4 linked regions of the Caenorhabditis elegans genome follow. The protein of the gene in region 2 interacts with the protein of the main gene of each other region in a pairwise test. Each region holds a gene or a part of one and is shown on either strand. Other genes may lie near its edges. The genes, in order: bath-41, cul-3, C17F4.8 and ZC239.15.

What was found.
Region 1: the proteins of cul-3 (region 2) and bath-41 interact in a two-hybrid assay, tested with the Caenorhabditis elegans proteins (one large-scale study listed by BioGRID).
Region 3: the proteins of cul-3 (region 2) and C17F4.8 interact in a two-hybrid assay, tested with the Caenorhabditis elegans proteins (one large-scale study listed by BioGRID).
Region 4: the proteins of cul-3 (region 2) and ZC239.15 interact in a two-hybrid assay, tested with the Caenorhabditis elegans proteins (one large-scale study listed by BioGRID).

What each region holds. Positions count from the first base shown.
Region 1 is NC_003281.10:6,719,909-6,724,176, forward strand, and holds bath-41 (BTB and MATH domain-containing protein 41), read right to left. Parts: upstream 2,351-4,268; 5' UTR 2,350-2,350; coding exon 2,294-2,349; intron 2,249-2,293; coding exon 2,093-2,248; intron 2,045-2,092; coding exon 1,944-2,044; intron 1,878-1,943; coding exon 1,726-1,877; intron 1,677-1,725; coding exon 1,484-1,676; intron 1,435-1,483; coding exon 1,140-1,434; intron 1,094-1,139; coding exon 922-1,093; intron 873-921; coding exon 741-872; 3' UTR 531-740; downstream 1-530. Other genes in the region: bus-22 (uncharacterized protein), read left to right, coding at 111-277, 320-530; F37A4.2 (PRKRIP1 family protein), read left to right, coding at 2,648-2,743, 2,795-2,919, 2,968-3,316; F37A4.1 (alpha/beta hydrolase), read left to right, coding at 3,496-3,613, 3,660-3,871, 3,916-4,179. UniProt on the Caenorhabditis elegans protein: Probable substrate-specific adapter of an E3 ubiquitin-protein ligase complex which mediates the ubiquitination and subsequent proteasomal degradation of target proteins.
Region 2 is NC_003283.11:175,715-183,609, reverse strand, and holds the start of cul-3 (Cullin-3), read right to left. Parts: upstream 6,032-7,895; 5' UTR 5,967-6,031; coding exon 5,910-5,966; intron 5,141-5,909; coding exon 4,224-5,140; intron 3,419-4,223; coding exon 2,782-3,418; intron 2,128-2,781; coding exon 1,749-2,127; intron 1-1,748. UniProt on the Caenorhabditis elegans protein: Probable core component of multiple cullin-RING-based BCB (BTB-CUL3-BTB) E3 ubiquitin-protein ligase complexes which mediate the ubiquitination and subsequent proteasomal degradation of target proteins.
Region 3 is NC_003280.10:3,230,305-3,236,569, forward strand, and holds C17F4.8 (BTB domain-containing protein), read right to left. Parts: upstream 4,522-6,265; 5' UTR 4,510-4,521; coding exon 4,390-4,509; intron 1,166-4,389; coding exon 914-1,165; intron 870-913; coding exon 758-869; intron 713-757; coding exon 573-712; 3' UTR 513-572; downstream 1-512. Other genes in the region: srh-297 (Serpentine Receptor, class H), read right to left, coding at 1-218; srz-67 (Serpentine Receptor, class Z), read right to left, coding at 5,652-5,906, 5,962-6,123, 6,185-6,265.
Region 4 is NC_003280.10:3,222,823-3,226,567, forward strand, and holds ZC239.15 (BTB domain-containing protein), read right to left. Parts: upstream 1,910-3,745; 5' UTR 1,822-1,909; coding exon 1,711-1,821; intron 1,666-1,710; coding exon 1,396-1,665; intron 1,083-1,395; coding exon 971-1,082; intron 929-970; coding exon 723-928; 3' UTR 511-722; downstream 1-510. Other genes in the region: ZC239.16 (BTB domain-containing protein), read right to left, coding at 1,948-2,304, 2,353-2,463; ZC239.17 (Potassium channel tetramerization-type BTB domain-containing protein), read right to left, coding at 2,660-3,058.

The sequences.
Region 1 (4,268 bases), on a different chromosome or scaffold from region 2:
ACCCATGACTGGGAGGCGGATCGTTTTCAAATGTACGTATGTAGAAGCGCGCTCCACAGATTTTTTGCGTCCACATAATATCAGTAATTCAATATAACACAAAGTTTCAGATTCAACACAAACCAGTGCTGATATTCTCTCGTTCTGCGCTAAACACATTCTATGATCTTGAAGAAGAAAATTGTTCTGAAAATGCTGAAAATGTGGAGGAATGGCTGACAACGTGTATGTCAATTCCACCCATTACTATTTCAGTGGACAGATCCAAAAAGAGCAGGTTGACTTGAATTTCAAATAAAAATTGATTTATCTTATTTAGGATATTTGCCATAAAAAGGCACTTTCAAGTTGATGAAATGAAAACAATGCCAAATGATTATCATGATGATAAAGACTACATTCATAGGCATTCGAGTTCGTTGTTATCCTTTACTAATTTATCGTTGGAAGATCTGAAGCTACTACCAATATTTGTGGAGAAAGTCCAAGGAGGATACAAAAAGAAAGCGGCTTCAAAAATTTTATTTTAGAATCAAATTGTTGTGTTTATAAAACAAATCAAATCAATAAAACCAAATAAAAATTACACCCGAAATTGAATTCTTGAATTCAAGCGTTTTGTTTCAAAAATTTGAGATCAACTGATGAAAAAGGTAAAATACCAGCAAACAGAAGGATGAATAGATATGATTGAAGAGCAAACACATAATCAATTTGACATGAGATTTACAAAGATTCAATTAAGTTAGAGTGATGCGGTCAATGATTCGGCTGTCCATTGATGTGGTCGAAGGTGAATCAGTATTTGAGAAAGCATCTCGAAGTATTTTGATGGCCAATGGTGGTTTTGCAGATTCAAGTTCGTCCCATGCCTGAAATTGGTTGCTTGTTCGACGTAATTTCATTCTCTCATTAACTTACAGTTAACTTCATGCACTCATGTTTATGATTCGAGAAGAAATCCAGAAGCACGTCATAGGTATCATCAAGTCTTAGCTCTGCAGCCATACTAATACGAGTGAGCACATTATCGACAGTCACTTTTGAACCGATGAGCCGAGCCACTTCATCACGCAATGAATTTATCATTAGTCTGATAAAAAACAATACTAGAATGTTTTAATGTAAAAATATCCAACCTATCCATTGCAGATATAAGGTCCTCGGTTAGTTGATCCTCTTCGAGCTTCACAACTCGACCAGCAGCGGACGCGTACATATGGCGAAGCAAGACGTCAAGAGTGCGAGCAGAAATGTCATCAAACTGGAGACGCTTGGACATAAACTCCTTGGTTGAATGATTTCTCAGGAGAACTTTGAAGTATTCAGAACGTGCTGCCAGGATGCACATATGAGTTGGGAATTCACGACCACACGAAGCGACTATAATGAAGTCGCTAAATTCTCCGGTGGATAGAAACTCTGTGAATGCATCTGAAAGTGATTAAACAATGAAAATTTCCAAGCTGTTAAAATCACTAACCATGCGCAGACGATTCGTCGATCTTCAAACATTTTGTATTGGGAGACGATAGGGATCGAGATGTTGAAGAAGCGCTGTGAGTTCTTTGATATGGCTTGAACAGGCTTGAGATCTGTGTCGTACATTCACCGAAAATTGTGAGCTCACATCCAATTGTCAGAATATCGTTAGGAATGTAGACATTCATGGCACTCTGCATTAAAATAAAAAATTGAAGTTGAAAAAAAAACAATCCGACTTACCCTGAGAATGTCTAATGAAAAGAACTTGCTTGCAGTCACGATACCACTACGATTGATCGTAACAAGATTCTTATTGAGATGGCAACTTCTTGGACCGTCTGCTGTTTCGACTGTAAAGCTGACACGGAAACGGAGACGAGGATTAGGGCATTCTGGAAAGAATCTTCGTAAATAACATTTAATAACGAAAAATGAAACACTTAAAGTTCTCTACGTACTATTTATGAGCAGAAAAAGTGAAAGATATCCGGCGGTTTCTTCGTCTTTCCCATTCGGAAATAGTTTCATGACAAACTCATAATCCCCATCTCCAAATTTACTGAAAAATGTAAAACTGATTAATCTTAAACATATTATATTTGCTTACGGTGCCAGCATGAATTCTGCTGGATTGTGAAGCTCTAATTGTACCGTGAAGCGCTCAACGGACCAATAATTGGTAAAGCTTCTCTCATTCATAACCGTACGGCAGCCGGAAACAATGCTTGGACTTTTTCGTTTTTCGGACTTCCCAGACGGTGAGCTGAAAATTAAAAATTTTGGAGAAAAAGAGGTCGTCAGAACTTACCGTGACGGAATCGAAACAGCCGCATTTTCTGGTTGAGCCCCGTTATTGATTTCCATTCTGTAAGCTGATGATGAATTGAAGTTGACTTTGAAACTATAGAATAATGAAAAGTAAATATAATTATTTGATAAACTTTATATTTTAACTGATAATAAGCAACTTCCTATCTAGAAGTAGCTTCTAAGAAAGCCAAAACAAAAAAATTGGATTTTGAAACTGCAGTACGACGCTCCGAGATGACGCAGCGCGTGTAGTTTAGCGTGCCAATCTTTTCGATTTTTCGCGGATAAAACATAAAATTTCCCGGTTTTTTTGCACTAATTTCTTTTTTGATAATTTCTAGAAAATCTCATTATGCCACGAGATGATCCAATCACAGAAGAAGAGCGCCGAGCAAATTCCGCAACCGATTTAATTCGGATGAGACTGGCAAGATTGCAACAAAATATTGTAAGTTTAATTTAGCTAAAAATATAATAATTTTATTTGTTATAATTGCAGGACAAGCCCGCTCCAATTCCAATTAAAAAGGAGACACTGAGAGCGCCAAAAGAACCTTTGGAATTCGTGAGAAATGTCGTTGGTTCTTCAGCTGCTGCCGGAAGTGCTGAATTTCATATTTACAGGTTAGAAAAGTTATACTTTTAATTTGTCTTTTCATATCCAAATTTCAGAAACAACCGACGAAAAGAACAAAATCGACTTGACTACATTGATGCGGTAGCAAAAAAAGAAGAATTGGACGATGCCTACCGTCACAAAGTAGAAAAACTTGAAAAGGAAGAAGAATCAAAAACCGCGAAGAAGAGAGCAAAGCGATTAAGGCAAAAAGCTGCTGCTAAGAAGAGAAAATTGACAAAAAAGAATAATGAATCTGACGAGAGCTCATCAGATGATTCGGATTCAGACTCAGGATCAGGATCTGATAACGAATCTGAAGGAAAACAAAACACAGAAGTCGAAGACAAAGATAAAGTTGAGAAGGAAGAAACGGATGATGAAAAAACTGAAGTTTCTACTTGAAGTTTTTATTACGGAATAACTTATTTGTACATGTTTGATTTAATATAATTGTTTTTCTCAATTGATGTTTTTTTTTGTATCAAAATTCTGAAAAATGGTATATATGTCCATTACATTTTATATTGTCTTTTGTTAATTGTGTTTTCCCTATTTACATATTTCAGTAGCAACTAGTCGAAATGCCGTCCTTCTGGACGCAAATTTCGGGACCACGGCTTTATGGAATTTTTGGACAACCCAATCGACAGGAACCAACACTGGAAAATCTCGGAAACACCGTCATATCGTTTTCTGCAGGTTATATTATTTTATGAAGCATAACCTTTTCCAAACTTGTTTTTAGGAATTTACTACATTGCCAGTTCATTAGCTTTTGGCCCCGTAATATTATGTTACTTGTACAGTCGAGACTGGCTCACACCAGCTGGAATGCTGACAATTCTGAAATATGCCGGATATTTAACACTAATCGGTTATGGAGCAAGAACATTCGGTCGGCTCTTTGACGAAACAAACTCGAGATTTTTAGATATTTGGGAAAACGAAAAAAACAAGGTATCAGTTGAAATCTTTATGTTTATGTATTAATTACGTTTCAGAAGGATGACAACAGTCATGCAGCACTAAAGAAGTACGACTTTGAACTTCTAGACGTGATTCCCGATTTTGTAGCTCGCCCCAATTCGGATTTATGGCATTTAAAACCAGAAGTCGCTGAAGCCGGCGTTGTTACTCGCGGTCTGGCGAGTTGGGCGATTCACGCATTTGGAAGACATTTGATTTATCCCGGATCAATGGCACTTTTGAAATACATGATGAGACCAAATTTGAATGCTGCACGAAAGCTTCTGGTTCAAAATAAGGTGAACGACTTTAAAAACAAAAACAATTTAAGTTCAATAAAAAATTCTGACACGGGCAGGATTCGAACCTGCGTTCGGTTAGAACCGTT
Region 2 (7,895 bases):
AAATTTCCGTATGAAACAGTTCAAAAACGTGAAAAAGGCAAATTTTACTAGGGAATGGTGTTACCCCTGCAATCGCTAGGAGGACAAAACAAAGTGAAAATGGAAGATCAGATCTATGGCTACAAGAATCAGTTTTTGGAATCTGCTTAACTCGGTCCCAAAGCTGAAATTTTCGGTCTTAAAAAGTAGTCCTTTTTTTGCTCAAAATGCCGTTTTTCGTGTGTAGAAGTGGCTACATAAAAGTTTGGCACTGCAGCCGCCGTTCGAATGGCCGATTGGTGAACTCTTGTGCTCATTAATCTAAAGGTCACGGGTTCGTTCCCCACTAGGTATTAATTTTTTTTTGAATTTTTCCTCTAGCATGAAATATGCACAAAAACACGGTTTCTTCCGTTTTTTGGTAACTTCGGAATAAATTTTTTGGTTCCTGGGAATCATAAAAGTAATTTGGAAACTTTTTGGAAGTTTTCTTTTTTTGATAAATTTTCACTTTTCTCCCACCTGATGTATGCACATTTTTTTCTTCAAAAATAATTTTTCAAAATTTTTTCAAAAAGTGTTTGGTTTGAAAGAGCAGCATTAGTTTGGATATTTCTACGATTTTGGAGGATCAAATGTCATTTTTAGGAGAAAACCACTGTTGTTTTCTCTAGACTTTTTCACGAAAAGGACCTACTTTCAAAGACTTCCAGCTCCGTTGACGAGTAAAATAAAAAAGAGTTGTCAACTGCAAAGTTATTTTAAAAGTACCAATAAACAAATTGTCAGTTGAAGTTACTCTGCTAAATTTTATGGGTAGAGAGATATGGACATTAGTAATTAAGTAAGTTAAAGCTTCACTTCGATTAGCTATATCTCTCTACCCATAAAATTTAGCAGAGTAACTTCAACTGACAATTTGTTCATTGGTACTTTTGAAATAACTTTGCAGTTGACAACTCTTTTTTATTTTACTCGTCAACGGAGCTGGAAGTCTTTGAAAGTAGGTCCTTTTCGTGAAAAAGTCTAGAGAAAACAACAGTGGTTTTCTCCTAAAAATGACATTTGATCCTCCAAAATCGTAGAAATATCCAAACTAATGCTGCTCTTTCAAACCAAACACTTTTTGAAAAAATTTTGAAAAATTATTTTTGAAGAAAAAAATGTGCATACATCAGGTGGGAGAAAAGTGAAAATTTATCAAAAAAAGAAAACTTCCAAAAAGTTTCCAAATTACTTTTATGATTCCCAGGAACCAAAAAATTTATTCCGAAGTTACCAAAAAACGGAAGAAACCGTGTTTTTGTGCATATTTCATGCTAGAGGAAAAATTCAAAAAAAAATTAATACCTAGTGGGGAACGAACCCGTGACCTTTAGATTAATGAGCACAAGAGTTCACCAATCGGCCATTCGAACGGCGGCTGCAGTGCCAAACTTTTATGTAGCCACTTCTACACACGAAAAACGGCATTTTGAGCAAAAAAAGGACTACTTTTTAAGACCGAAAATTTCAGCTTTGGGACCGAGTTAAGCAGATTCCAAAAACTGATTCTTGTAGCCATAGATCTGATCTTCCATTTTCACTTTGTTTGTCCTCCTAGCGATTGCAGGGGTAACACCATTCCCTAGTTAGCAAAAAAAACCCAACTTTGCCAACTTTCCCATGTCCCATGGGAAAGTTGGCTGCAGCGATTGGAAATTGATTTTTTTTTCAAATTATCAATTTTTTTCAAAAAAATTCGAAAAACTATAATTTCCTTTTCATACCTATCGCATCTTTTCCCTTATTCTTTCTGACCAAAATCCGCTGCGACGCTTTTCCGAGAGCCAGCGACTGCAAATTCCTCTTCAACTCTCGCTCGGGAATCTTAAGCTCATCCATCAGCTGCTGACATGAGATCCGATTGTGATGGTTGAACTGAAGGAGAATGATCATCTGATGCGTATTGACCTGGAGAATCTTGTGCTCCGGTTTTCGTTCTTTCATCGACTCTCCACTGCTCGACGGTCCAGGACCATTTTCCTCGTTTGACATGGATGCTTTTGGTGGTGGATAGAATGTGGCTTTGACGTCAGCGTTTCCGAGAAGTGTGTTGATTGTCAGCTTACGGCCAGTGTGCTTTTCAGTGTAGTATTGTGTGAACATCTGAAAAACGAGGGGAAATTGAAGAAATTCCAAAAATCTTTGTGAAAAAATATTTTTTTAAAAATTGCCCTGGTTTTATATTTTAGCTTGAAAGCACGTTTAATCGCACCCAATAATATTTTTAAACTCGCGCCAGAGATATTCTCATTGGAGCGCACCGTGTTGTGTCGATTTACGGAGATTTCAGTTTTTCCACAAAAATGAAACATACTTATTGAAAAATTGAAATTGGCCTGAAAATTTCATGAGAAATCTCGTAAATCGACACAAGTGTGGCGGTCCAATGAGAATGTCTCTGGTGCGCGTGTGAAAAGCGATTTCAAGCAAAAATAATAGATATTCGGAATCTTTTTTGGCTTTTCTGGCAGAAAAATGGATTTCTAGGTATTTGGTCAGAAAAACTAGAAGAAACGTTTTTTTTTTGAATTCATCTCATCGCGACTGGAAATTAAATTTTGAAAAAAAAACATACTTGTTGTTTTTTGATTGGAAAAACCGAAAAAAATATATATTGTCTCTAAAATGCACATTTTTCTGTATAAAAAATCCATCTTTTGGCAAAAAACGACAACCCTGCGTGTAAGCAGACATTTTTGCGGGTTTTGTGAAACATCAAGCTCAAAAATTGCAAAACCAATTGAAAATTCGAATTACCTCATAGGCAACCGACAACTCTTGCGGCAACACAACCGGATTACACTGAACCGTCGGCCAAACGCCCGCCGTCAAAACTCTAAGCGATATGTCAATGCTCATTTTGGTCGGCTGAGCCTCTCGCCAGTCTCTGAAGCTTGTGGCCAGTGTCAGCCAAAGCTCCTTGTCTCTGAACATATTCTCAAGCTTCTGAGTAAACTGGCAACCACACTCTGTCTTCAGCTTTGCCAGCAGAGCCTTCTCCACATCGTCGGAGCACGATTTGTCGAGCAAGAGACGTTTGGCGAGGTATTGCTTGAAATACTTCTCGAATACATCCTTCTCCTGTAGATAGCGGAACAAGATCATCACATTGTCGAGCTTATTGTCCATTTCGGCGTCCGACACACATTTCAGACCGCTTCGCAGCATATCGTCCATGTAGAGGGCCACAAATTCCGGCGATTGGCGATTCGAGTTGAGGAACGTCTCGAAATCATGCTGGAAGCGATTCTTAAAGTCACGATCGTCGGCAAACGCAGTGGTGAGCAGACTGGAGAAGTAGTCTTTGAGCTGGAGCAATTCGTTGACAAAATTGACGGGGTTTTTGAGCAGATCCTCATTTTTCACAATGTTCGAGCCGGTTTCGTTGAGATATCTGGAAAAAAAAGTTAACTTTTCTTGCTGAGCAACCCCCAATTCTGCTCTAGTTTTCTGAATGCTCCGTGTTCAACTGTTAGGGTTGGTGTTATCTAAAAACTAAAACCACCAACAGCTGAGGCGTTTTAAGGAGAAGCGGCGGTGTTCGACGTAATGGACAACAGAACAAATAAACAGATTGCTGCGGGCGAGTGACACGGGTTTAGGTCAGAAAAGTAGAGTTTGATAAATAAAAATACAGTAAATTGGCTGGAATTTAAATTTCTTGAAGCGAAAACGTGGCCGCGAAACCTCTACTAACACGGCCATGTGTAGATTTACGCGACTCGTGTACTCCACGTGGATTATTTTTTACGGTTTCTGGCTGAAATGCTTGCATTGGTGGTGTTTTACCATTAAAATTAGAAATAATTTGAACGATTAAGCATTTTAGCTAAACACTGTAAAATCCTCTTCAAAAAAAGTGCCAAAGTAAAGTCTAGATTTAACCATCAAATACATAAATTTTCGAGGAGCACAAAAGCTGGTTAAACCGACACATGGAGCCATTTTGGGTGAAATTTTCAATTTTTTACAAAATAAAATCATTGAAATCTCCGCATTAAAGCAAAAACCCGTAATTTCTGGGGTAAAAAAACAAAATTTCCCCTCGAAGAGTACACAGGCTTCGTAAATCGACAGATAACCATGCTAGTGCCTTTTTGTGGTGAAAATTGTTCAAATTTTAATTTTACAACGTTCCTCCCACGGCTGTAATCACCAAATAATTCAATTTCTAAAAAAAAATCGCGCGAAAAACTCACTCGCTAACCGCCTTAAGCAGCGCCTTCAATCCACCACCCGGTACTGTCACCGAATCTCCGATACGTTTGAAAATACGGAAAATGCGAGTCAAATCCTCAATCTTCTTGTGCTCCAACATAAACTTCACACCACCATTCTGCATGTAGACAATCGTCTGAATATGCTCAGCAACCATCACATCATCCATCACCTGCAGGATTTTGGCCTCTGTCATTTTGTCAAGATATCTCGACGCTCGGCTCGCCTCGTCGTGCATCGCAATCTCCACCTGTGCCAGATAGAAGCACGCGTCATTGTCGCCAGAAAGCCAATTCTTGCACACATCCCGATAGTAATCACTAGTCTCCTTCAGAAGTGGCCTCTCAAATTCGTCCTCATAAACCGTCCGGCTATCGATTCCTAGCGAGATGAGCATATCACACGCGTTTTTTATTCCGTGCCAATTGATTTGATTCGATTTTCGATCCAATTTGATAAGCTCCAGAAGAGCATCGCGAATTCGGTCGCCAATCCCGTTTTGCCGCAGAATTTCCGTCCGATACGCGTCGAGACCCAGATTATAGACCGGCAGGACGTGATTATTCTGTGCCACGTAGATCCGATCCATATACATCAGAATATCACGAATCATGACCATGGCGACAGTGTGATCAGCCCACGATTCGGCGACAGTCTCCAGGAAGCTTCCAGAATTCATTGATTCGATAATTCGAATTCGAACCGACGCCATATGATCCTGAATCACGTCTTTCAGGCCATTATAGAGACGTTCTCCGTGCTTGTGGAGCACCATTGTATATGCGTTGCGGTAGAGCTCCTCGAAACTCAAGCCCGAATTGTTTTTGCGTTGGATTTCCTGTATGGCACGCTTCAAAAGTTCCCATGTCTGTGTCACATATTGCTCGTCTATTGTGGCCTGAAAAAAAATCATTTTTCTCCGTTTTTTTTTTGCGGCTTTTCTAAATTTTGGGCATTTTCCTTAAATGACCAAAAACTGGCCCGACTATTAAAAAATTTCCAAAATTTCATTATAAGAATTCAAAATTTTCGGAAAAGCGCCAAAATTTGCTAAACTCAGGGATTTTCCAGCTAGAAAAGTTTACGAAATATCAGATTTTAGCAAAATTTGGCAAAAATTTTGGAACTTTTTTGGGATGAAATTCGGTAAATTTCGATCAAAAATGCGTTTTTTTTTCGTGAAAAAAACGCGAAAAACTCTTATGTGAGGTCATTTTTGCGAGAACATTGCCGTTTATAACAAATTTCATGTTTCTAATGGCTAGTCCAAGCAAATAGGAAAAAAAATAGAAAATCGATAAAAAACGGCGGAAATACGATTTTACAGTTTTTCTCTTCGTTTTTTCCTGGTTAAACGGTCAAAAACAATTATTGACCATTAGAAATCCCTCAGAATCGATTTTGTTATATGAAAAAAAAATATTTTGCTTTTGTTCTTTAGAAATGACGAGTTTTGGCACGTGGCACGCAAACTGAAAATGATTGCCACGTGGCATACAGTTGCCAGTGGAAAAATATCAGTTTCTCATCAGAAATTGACGGATTGTTCGGATATCGCGGATAATTCGGCCGTAACATTCCAAGTTTCGTTTTAAAAAAATCGATTTTTCACGCAAAACAAGGAGACAGGCTTGATAGAGGACTAAAATCTGTGTGTGTAAACCTACCATAAATGGGCGAATTCTCATTTTTTGTTGTCCACCATTACCGGAGCGTCCGCTCATCTCCAAAAATGAGTCGATTCCGAACGAACTGGTCAAGTCAGAATCTCGCTCGTTTTTCGTGCACACTGAAATAAACTTGATTTTCCGTTCTCGAAAAGCAAAAAATTTGAAAAAATCGTACTGCGGAATGTTATTATTGCAGAAAAAGCGCGCACTGATAACAGAAAAAACAAAACTAACTATTTTCAGCTTCAAAGTTGAGAAGTCGCGAGTAATTCGAAATAAATCGATTTTGCTTTGTTTTTTTTTCGAAAAAACTTTGAAAATCCGGTAATTAGAATGTCACGCAAAAATAAATAGCTGGATATCAACTTAATTACTCGGAAAAATCAATATCATTATCTCGAAAGTCACTGGAATTTTAATTTCGCGCGTTTTTCCAGAACTTTTTGCCTATTTTCCGGCTCAATCAATCAATATTTCACTTCGAATCAAGTCTAAAACACCTTTAAAAGCTTCAATTTCGAAAAAAACTATGAAAAATGCGAGAAAAATCGAACGGGAACAGTGTGTTTTGGAGTTCAGAAGTGCACCGAGACTGCGTCAATGCGGGTTTGCTGGCGCGCTCCTCGTGCGTTGGCGCTTTTCTCGTGAGGAAGCTTTAAAAATTAATTTTCAACCAGAATTTTAGAATTTTCAGAGAAAATTGGCGGTGTCCACGTGGAAAAATAAATAGTGTTTTCGGTAGAATAAACTTTAAATTTATTTAAAAGTACAAAATTTGTGGAAAGCCCTCGAAAATCGGTTGAAAACGATCTAAAATGATTAAATTTACTTAATAAATTAACAATATTCGCTGTTTCAAATTAATAGAAAGTCGCAAAATAAATATTTTTATTTGAAAATAAGATGATGTTGAAATTGGAAATTTGAGAAAAAACAAGAATTTTAAAAAAATCAGAAAAATAAATAAAATTATAATTAGCCGAGTCGAAGTTGACGTTGAGAAGAGGAAGTTGAGTGATCTGAAAAAAGAAACAGTTTAATAAACGAAAACGAGTTTTAATACTTCAGGAAGGAGTACAGAAATATACAACATTTCCTATTCAAGCGGAAAACGGAAATTATGGGGTGTTTAGGGTGGCGGAAGAAGCTGGGATCAAATCATTCATACAGTTCAACTACAATGATTCGAGTCATGGCTTCCTGGATCTTATTACTTTTTATTCTGAATTTTTTAATTTCCTGTAAGTTTTGCCAAAAGCTAGGATTTTTTGAAGGCGTAAAAATCGTGTTTTGCCATAAATCTGAGTAATCTTACAATTAGTAAGCTGAGCGTAATTGTTCAAAAAATGGTATAATTTTTCACAATTTTTCTCAATTTTGCACCAATAATTCAAAAATGGTCAATTTATTATTTCGAAATTTCTGCGTTTTAGGCTTTAGGCTAAGAGAAAATCCAATAAATATTGCAGGAATACGCAAAAAATAGAATTCATTCGCGCAGGAATTCAAAATTAATGTGGTCATTTCTAATTTTTTTTGCGAAATTTAAAAATAATAGCAATTATATACAGATTTTTTTCACTGTTTTCTCTTTTTTTGCAATTAAAGTCAGGGCTACCGTACTCCTGGTGGCTCGTGTTCTTCACCGTGTATATTACGGTAACGCAAAATTCTGAGAATGCGTATTGCGCAGCAAATTTGACGCGCAAAATATCTCGTAGCGAAAACTACAGTAATTTTTTTAAAAATTGCTACTGTAGCGCTTGTGTCGATTTACGTGCTCGATTTTTGAAATGAATTTGTTTCCGAATAGTGATATCGATATTTTATTTTCCTCCGCGCCTGCATAGTATTTTCTAAATTTTTTGCTCAATTTTAATCGAGCCCATAAATCGACACAAGCGCTACAGTAGTAATTTAAAAAATTACTGTAGTTTTCGCTATGAGATATTTTGCGCGTATACGTTTCGTAATACGCATTCT
Region 3 (6,265 bases), on a different chromosome or scaffold from region 2:
ACCGGAGCACATAGGAAAGGCTGGGCGAGCAGGCTAATGGAAATGTCTAAGAAGGAAGACCAGAAGTGAAGGTTGAACAGAGCCCACTTAACGGATTTCATAATTTTAGGAGTTTTTAATAGGATACAATAACCTCCGAAAATGTGAATTGGAACTGAAAATCCAGCTAATACATATAGAATTTTGGAATATACATCCGGATAACTGAGGGAAAGCATTTGAACGGAGAGTAATGAAGGAAGTAACTATGGGCTTTTTCTTGTTTTCGAAAATGTGTCAGACTCATAACGAGTTTTATCACCCGTTTATTCAAAGAACAATATGTAAAGCTCATATATAAAATACTCTCGTAATCTCAGTATGTAAAATGTGAAGCTTTATCATAAATAATTTTTAAATGTTTTTTTCCTGAAAAAAATTAGATTTTGCACAGAAAAATGTAATTTTTCAGGTACACTTCTGGTAGTTGAATCCTGAAAGTTTTTCAAATATATTTCCAAATTTTCAGACAAGAAAAACATAATAACTTTATTGATTTATTGATTGGCACAATTAGGATTTAAAAAAATTAATTAGAATCCACAATGTTTCTTTAAAAAATTATCAATAAATTGCTCACAATCATTTGATACATCCCCAATACTCAGAAAGATACTTGACTTGACTGACTTGAATTGACAATTTGCGCTCAAGGAACAGTTGTTTTGTGGTGCTGAATGTTTTTCTTAAATTATTATTGTCAACTTTGAAAACTTACCGAAAGCAATGTGAAATTGATCTCTATACTTTTCCATTAAACTCCCCCAGTCGATGTCCAAAATGGGCGATTCATCTAGATTCTTTTCAGGATACTTTATCAACAATCGTGGCTGAAAATAATTATTTTATTTTGAATTTCGAGATTTAAGCATACCTTGTCGTTTTTTGTATAGAACTCTATTTTTTCAGTGCCACTTATTAGTACACGAATTTTTGTATTGATTTTTCTATGACACAGATCGACCAACTCCTCCAACAGGTAGAACTGAGCTTCTCTCTTGACTTCGTTGATCTCTTTTTCTTGCTCAGGAAGATCCACGTCGCCATCTCTCAGAAAGTTCAGGATTATGTCGAAATGTTTCGGAGAGCGGTCGATGAAGATGCAGTTGGAATCGTCTTTCTGGAGCTGAAACTTGTAATAATTGTTTATTTTATTTTCAAGGTTTTTGCTTAGGCCTAGGCTTAGAATTGGCGTCAGTGGGGGAGCGTTAGCGGCGTATTGGCCACTAAGAAGCTTTCGTGTAAAATTTCAAATTGATTCCATCAAAACTCGCCGAGTTATGGAGCTTAAAGTGTTTTCGAAATGCCCCTCAACTATTTTTTAAAAATTGAAAGTTTGGCGTTTTGTCAGTTTTCTCCCTAAGCTCACGAAAATTTAATGACAGCAGGAGGGAAGCAGAATAAGGTTTCTTGTGAATTTTGAGCCAATTTCGATTTACAGGAGCCGAGATATTAAGCTTGTAAATCTGAAAAAAGTTCGAGCCCGGGTGCGGGCGTCTAAATTTTTTTATTCCCTGTTTTTCGTGGTAAATGGAAACGCGCGTGTAACTTGACGGTGGGTGGATGGATTATGATGCGGTTTTTTGCTGTCTCTTCAAGAAGCTTGCCCCACCTCTGTATGCTTTATTTCAGAAAGATTGGAGCTCTTTGAGCCGAGATATAAAGAGTATTTTCGAGTATCCTCCAAAAATCACTTTTTTTTTCTCATTTTTTGCCTCTTTTTTTTTGCAGGAAAATTCGTTTTTGAGATTTTCACGAGATTTTTTAGCAGTTTATAGTACTCGACGAGGTGCGTTTAAAAACATACAAATCTTCCAGATCCATCAACTGTGAGCTCTTTTAGAGAGCTTCAAAGTCAAAATTTGCATTTCCGACCTCCCCCCTCCCTTTTCGGTGTGTTTTTTTCGCGTTTTTTTTAAACCACCGCTTCGTGCGCTGTTGTCTTTGAGAAATCTTTGGTTTTGAGGTGAAAATCTGGCAGAAAAATATTTTTGCTCTATAGAAAAGTAAAAAAAATTCCAAAAAAGTGATTTTTTCATTTTGAAAATCGAGGCAGAAAAAACAGTTTTCATTTTTTTTTCCAAAAACCTTAACTTTTCCTTCTCATAACTTTGCGGTCGTTTGAGATATTTTGGTTTTAAAAAAAAATAATGAAAGCTGAGAAATTTTTAAAGCGAGTCAAAAAAAAAATTTTTTTAATCGAGTCATACATCACCGAGATAATCGACCGAGAACAAAGTTACTGCCGTTTTTGATTTGTAATTATTCAACTTTGAGCGTTTATTACTCACTCAATCTTAAATCAATTTTGATTCTGTTTTTTTCAGTAGACCCAGAATTTGACGCTTAATCCGAAAAACTAAGTTTTAAAAAAATTTTAGTGAAAATTTTTTTCAGGACCGCCAAAAAATCGAGTTTTTCAGCACTGACTTTTTCGAATTTTTGCGATTTTTCACTCATTTTGCGATGAATCTTTGTTTTATTTTTTGTGTTCAATGAACAATATTGACAAAAAATGGAATCTATCAACAATTTGCAAAAATTTTTGTGCCAGTTTGAAATTTTTTCCAAAAATGAATTTTCTGCCTCTTGCCCAGAAAAAGTGGTTTGGTCTGGTGTTTCAAAATTAGTATGTTAGAAATCCTCACAATTTTTTTCATATTCTCTCAAATTTTTGTAACCCAATTCTCACTTTGAAGGGAGATACAGGCGGGAGATACAGTTCGTTGAAGGGTTGGCTGCCAACACATCGCCACCCCACCCACAGAGAGACACACATTTACGACCCAATATATCCAGATATTACCTCCTGCTCTCAGTTTTCAAAATTTTATGATGATTTTTACTTTATCAGAAAGACACATTCTCTTTCCTATTTGCAGGGATAGTGGAAGACAAAAAAAAACAACATGGATTTAAAATCAGGGCTTCGCCCCGATTTTAATAAAATATATGAAACCCTCATAAAAAGTTACAAGAAGGTTTTTCCTTGCGCTTGGAGCGCAAAAGAAAAGAAAAAGAGCTATTTAGACTTAGGAACAAACCCAATTTGAATAAAACATTGGAAATCCCAATCCAACAAGCCTAAGGGCCCCAAAAACATACTAGGATGCCCAACTTGAATAAAATATAGGAAATACTTATGACACACTTAAGCCTAAGAGCCCGAAAAAAAAAATGGGATGCCCAACTGGAATAAAATATTGGAAATCCTTATGACACACCGGCGGTATGGCGCGGCTTAAGCCTAAATAGCCACTTTTATCAAAATACATTTGAGCGAGGCGGTTGTAAACTATTCGTTCTTTAGCAAAAATTAAAAAAAAACTATATTCAAATTTAAAAAGAAATATCATATGTTATCACACCTTAGACTATCACGCCTTTATTTAGTAATCATTTTTAGTTCATAAATGTGAGAGAAAGAAAAATGGATTAATCATCGGAATTAAATACATCATCAGAGTGATTATATTCATCAAAGGTCTCACTTTACTTGAGGGTTAATTTGATCGATATAAAATTCCTATCTCATGTGAAGAAAGGTTCAAATTCTGTACCTATGAATGCTGCCGATACTTGAATTCCTATCTCATGGGAAGAAGGCCTTTCTTGTGGGAAGAACGGAGTTATAAAAAAATATACGCAGGTACAGAATTTGAACTTTTCTTTCCATGGGAGAGGAATTTGAATATTGGCATTCTATAACTTTACTAAGAAAAATAATCTCCAAAGGTTGATCGCAAATATGTAGAGATTGCTCGCATCCCTTCAAATATTACAAAATTTCCAAGTTTCTTAGTAATCTATAGTCTTTATTTAGATTACTGAAAAATATACACAGAGTGCTTTCGAGTTAACTGAGAAGTTATTGTAAAACTCGAGTCGGGCTCAAATGTATTTTGATAAAAGTGGCTATTTAGGCTTAAGCCGCGCCATACCGCCGGTGTGTCATAAGGATTTCCAATATTTTATTCCAGTTGGCCATCCCATTTTTTTTTTCGGGCTCTTAGGCTTAAGTGTGTCATAAGGATTTCCAATATTTTATTCCAGTTGGCCATCCCATTTTTTTTTTCGGGCTCTTAGGCTTAAGTGTGTCATAAGGATTTCCTATATTTTATTCAAGTTGGGCATCCTAGTATGTTTTTGGGGCCCTTAGGCTTGTTGGATTGGGATTTCCAATGTTTTATTCAAATTGGGTTTGTTCCTAAGTCTAAATAGCTCTTTTTCTTTTCTTTTGCGCTCCAAGCGCAAGGAAAAACCTTCTTGTAACTTTTTATGAGGTTAGGCTTAGGCTTAGGATTCAGTGTCCGTTTGCCTTGCTCGGAGAACTCAGTTGTACAAACTAACCGGAATGTCACTCTCGAGCATCATCTTAAAGAATCCGTCGATCATGGTGAGAGTAGACTTGGAAGTTTGAAAAACAGTACCACCAACGTTTAACTTGACGATGTTATCTTTTGAGCACATTTTCCACTTCCTGAAGAAATGTATTGAATAAAATTTATTAACATATACATATGTATAACTTTTATGTTTAATTGTATTGTTTAAAAGTTTGCAAAAAAACAATGTTGACAATTAAAATGCTAATAAGAAACTATGAAACAATTAATTTTCTAAAAAAAAAGGCATGCAAAAAATGAATCAACCTGTGTGGCTGGATAAAGAGAAAGAGTGGTGGTCCGGTCCCGATATAGTCTCTGCTAATCAATAAAAAGAGCATTATTTAGTAAGAGACACAGGCATAGAGACTGACTGTGTGAGTGTCCTGTTTCCAAAATATGATAGTAATGACTGTGCAGACCAGTGCTGTGCGGCTCTTGAAAAAAGTCGGCTTTCGGCTCGCACCGAGAGCCGAGTCTAAATTTTTTTTCGGCTCTCGGCGGGAGCCGAGAGCCGAAAAAGCCCAAAAATGTCGGCTCTCGGCTCACGCCGAGAGCCGAGTACCGACTGTTTTATTTTTCGGTATCGGTTTTCGAAGACTCTTTCAAGTTAACTTTAACTCAAATTTTTTTGAACAATAGCACCAATGTATCTCAACAGAAAATAAATTACTTAAACAAATGTAACCAATAATAAAAATTGTCCATAAATTCATTGTTGGTTCCTCCGTCAAGTTTATAACGTCGGATTCAGTCCCAGCTGCATCAGTTTTGACAAATTCCTTGTTCATTAATAGAACATTGATAGATAAAAACAACATTTTGTTTAAGTTTCAATGACTAATTGACTTTCGCTGGCACACTGAACACCCCCAAACAAAAATCTAAAAAGTCGACTAAAAAAATCGGCGCGCGTCGAAAAACGAAAAAAAAAATTTTCGGCTCTCGGCTCTCTGCGAGAGCCGAGTTCAATTTTTTTCGGCTCCCGGCTCCCGCCGAGAGCCGAAAAAACCCCAAAATGTCGGCTCTCGGCTCGCGCCGAGAGCCGAGAGCCGCACAGCACTGGTGCAGACTGCAGTTGTGTGTATGATGTAACGGAGAACGGACAGCGTTCTTAGACTGTTACTGTCTCTGCGTCGGCCCTCGACAGTTTTCATCCACCCAAACGGGAGCAAAACCGAAATAAAAAGATTGGAGAAAAATGCAGAAACTGTTCATGTAATATATTTAAACTGTAGAATGAATGCTTGCAACATATTGCTGGGGTTCAACAACAGTATTTTTTAAACCTAAAATGGTTCTTAGAAATTGTTTCAGCTTAAATGAAGACAGCAAAACTGTCACATTCCGTTTGTTACATCCTAGATACGAAATTACTATTAATAAGGGGATCGTTGCCGATTCAAGTATAGATTCTGAAATCACATTCAGAAATATGTCCTCAATATCCTGCATTTGAAGTACAACCATTGAAAAGGACATCTGAAAAAATAAAAAGACATTTGCAAAATTTTGTTCATTTAATTGCCAAACTCACAGACTTGAACACAAACAGTATCATCGTCTGCCAGAAAATGTACCTCTGGGGGTTATTAAGCTGTGATGACGCTAGATGAGAAAGTTTTCGAATACTTATAAGTATTGGAATGTAAAGAAGTGCGGACAGGAACAATAGAATGTGCATGGTATAAAATATGGTCTGAAAAAATCAAAATCAGTAGTTAATTCGTCTGATTTAGTGAAATCTTAATATGTCTTACAATGAAAAATACACTCCAAATCAAATAATATGGGTGTGAATCATCAAAAAAAGTAACGGCGTGTAAAACGATACAAATAAT
Region 4 (3,745 bases), on a different chromosome or scaffold from region 2:
AGTTTTTGAGAGGAAAAAGAGAGAAAAACGGAGTGAAATTGTGTTATCAGTGAGCCGATCGATTTTGAATTATCAGTGTTGCGAAATTTTGTTTTTTTTTTTACAAAAAAATCAAAAATGTTAAGAAATAAAAAAAAACTTCTGAATTGAAAATATTGTCAAAAAATCCACAAAATGAGTTAATTATCTCTTTCTCTGCTTCTCCAAATACAAATATTGACCAAACTCCCCAATCATTTTTTCTAATTTTTCCAAAAAAGTTGCATCCCGAATTATCCGTCCGCCTCGATTAATTCGAAGATTGTGCGGAAATTGACTATAATATCCATTCTCGGTAGATTTCCACTTTATCCTAGCTTTCCATTTTCGAGAAGGTTCGTCTTCACTCAATCGCTCTTAATCGATTACGGTAATCAGACCCTTTCACATTCAAACATAGTTTTGAATAATCCATCACATTTTATTAATGTCGGTCTTGAAGTTTTAAAAATAGTTCCGCCGATGTCTAGTTTAACAACCTTGTTCATATTTTAAAATAGTTACGGTTTGAGGCACAGATGCAACCAAACTCAAAAAATAAAAATAAGAATGTTTGTTATCAATCAGACTTTGAACTTATCCATGTGTTTTGTGTTTAAAGATAAAAAAACAAGCTTACTAAATTATAATTTTTTAAGCTTCTAAATTAGAAATATTGTCGAAAAATCCATAAAATAAGTTAATTATCTATTCCTCTGCTTCTTCAAATACTCATCAAACTCCCCGATCATTTTTTCCAATCGTTCCAAAAATGTTGCATCCCGTATTATCCGTCCACCTCGATTAATTCGAAGATTGTGTGGAAATTGACTGTAATATCCATTCTCAGTAGGTTTCCATTTTATCCTTGCTTTCCATTTGCGAGAAGGTTCGTCTTCACTCAATCGCTCTGAATTGACTATTTTATGAGGATAATGTACAAAAAACTTACGAAAATAAATATCGAACTGATGTGAATACTTTTCCATGAACTCGTAAAGATTAAAGTTATAGGGAATCGACATATCATTCCCAACCATGCAAAATTCAATTATGAGCATTGGCTGTAAAAATTATATGTAGAGCTGAAATTTTTTGAAGAAACTGGTTAATTATTTTATGATTGACAAACGCCATACAGTGTGGCCTTACTATTAGGACTACAGCTTGCACTGGCCTATAGTTTAAGCCACGTCCTAGCCAGGGACTGTGGCCGATAATACAGTCATGGATTGCTCCACTCTCCAATACAGACTGGGTGAACCTAGGGGATGAGTCTAAACTTGAAACCGCAACCTCTAGCTTTCTAGCAGCTACCACTACCGACTGAGATATTCCTATGAATTTGAAAAACTACATTATTTTATCGAAACTCACCTTCTGTTGAACAGCAAGAATTTGAAGAAATTGTTCATCGCTTTCAATAAATCGAAGTTTTATCTTTGGAGCTTCAACAAGCTCAATCTTTGAATTGCACAACTCAATGAGTCCGTCGAGCAAATAGAATTGAGCTTCTACTAGCAGCTCCTTCAGTTTCAATTCACAATTGGGTAGAACCACGTCGCCGTCTCGCATAAAGTTCAGTATCAAGTCGAAATTTTTCGGAGACCGATCAATAAAAATACTCCCAGATTCGTCAATTTTTAGCTGAAAATTTGAAAATTTATCGGGAAATTTTTGGAAAAATCGGACCCCAATGTCACTCTCCAACATAGTTTTGAAAAATCCATTGAACTTTGTTAATGTAGATCTTGAAGTTTTGAATATAGTTCCACCAACGTCCAATTTCACAGTTTCACTCATTTTCGAAGAGTTTTCTAGGGGAGAAAAAGAGAAAGATGGAGTAAAATTTTGTTATCAGTTATAAGATTATCGATCAGTACATATTTCAAAATGATTTTTTTTAACAAAAATTAAAATTTCCAACAACTAAAAAAGATAACATTTATTTCTTTTTTCAACAATAAAATAGCCTTTTAGTGCAGGCATGTAATACACAAACACTAAAACCAAAAAAATTATTGAAAAAACAAAAAACCATGATAAATCATATTTTTTAGTGTTTGCTCTTTGATCAATTTGGACCTTTTTTGTAGAATTAAGTTTATCACAGCACATTAAGACTAGACCATCCAACCAGTAGAATTGAGCTTCTGCCATCAATTCTCTCAGCTCTCTTTCATCTTCTGGCAGTGGCAGATCACCATCTCTCATTAAATTCAGAATCAATTCAAAGTGTTTCGGGGACCGATCTATGAAAATGCATCCGGTTTTTTCAATTTTCGGCTGGAAATTTTCACGTTTTTTTTTGGAAAAAAACAACGATTTTCATACCCCAGTTTTGCATTCCAACATAGTTTTGAAAAAGCTATGGAACTTTGTTAATGTATCTTTTGAAGTTTTGAATATAGTTCCGCCAACGTCTAGTTTAATAATTTCACTCATTTTTGGAGAGTTTTTGAAAAAAATTGTAGAGGAGAAAAAGAGGAAAGTGAAATGAAGGTTTGTTATCAGTGAGTCGATCGATTTGAAGTTATCAGTGTTTTCAATTGATTTTTTTCCATACTATAATAGGTTTACGTTCGGGTCTGTTCACATTTCTATGATAGCATAATACAATGAAAATTGCGTTTAATAGCCACTAAAATAGGTAGCATTTACTAGATTTTTCAACAATAAAATAGCTTTTTAGTGCAGGGATGTAATACACAAATACCAAAAAAATTAATGAAAAAACAAAAAAACGAGTATAACTATTATTTTTAGTTATTGGTTTTTGATTTTGAATCATTCGGAAGTTTATTATAGTGCTAAGTTTCACACCGCACTTATTGTACAGTCCAAACATCTGATAGTAATTTGCTTCCGCACACAACTCTCTCAATTCCTTCTCAGTTTCGGGCAACCACAGATTCCCATCTCTCATTAAGTTCAGAATTAACTCGAAGTGTTTCGGGGAACGATCAATAAAAATGCATCCGGATTTTTCGAGTTTCGGCTGAAAATGTTCAGGTTTTTGGAGAAATATAGTCAGCAACATTATACCGCAATATCACTTTCAAACATAGTTTTAAAAAAGCTATCGAGTTTCGTTAATGTATCTTTTGAAGTTTTGAATATAGTTCCACCAACGTCTAGTTTAATAATTTCGCACATTTTTTGGAGAGTTTTTAAAAAAATTGTGGGGAAGAGAAATGAAGAAAGTGAGATGAAGTTTTGTTATCAGTAAGTCTATCGATTTGCAATTAACAGCCATTTTTATATTTTTAACAAATTTTAGGAAATAGTGGCGGTGGAGTTTTTTTCAAGACATGTATAGAAAACTTTCCGATTTCCGCTTTTGCAAATTGTGCAAAATTTCTGAAGGAATTTTTATAAGAAAAAACGGATGACACATATTTTTGACATTTTTTCTCGTTTTCAGCAAGAATTCTAATATATTTTTTCTCATTTTTCATGTAAGATACGTGTAATTTTGCAGTTACAACTGAAATTTCAAAATTTCCAATAAAAAATGCAATACCTCAGTCGAAATTTTTCGGCAATTGAAGTTTTTGGCAGCTTCACAAAAAATTGAAAAATTTCCCATATTTTTTGAAACCAGCAGTTTCCGAAGATTCCAATTGCCAAAAATTTTCAAAACACTACAGTTTAAAATTGGGGTTATAACTTCATTTTTTTTTGTTTTTATAATCATACAGTGTGGGAAAGTTCTATAGGACCCCCC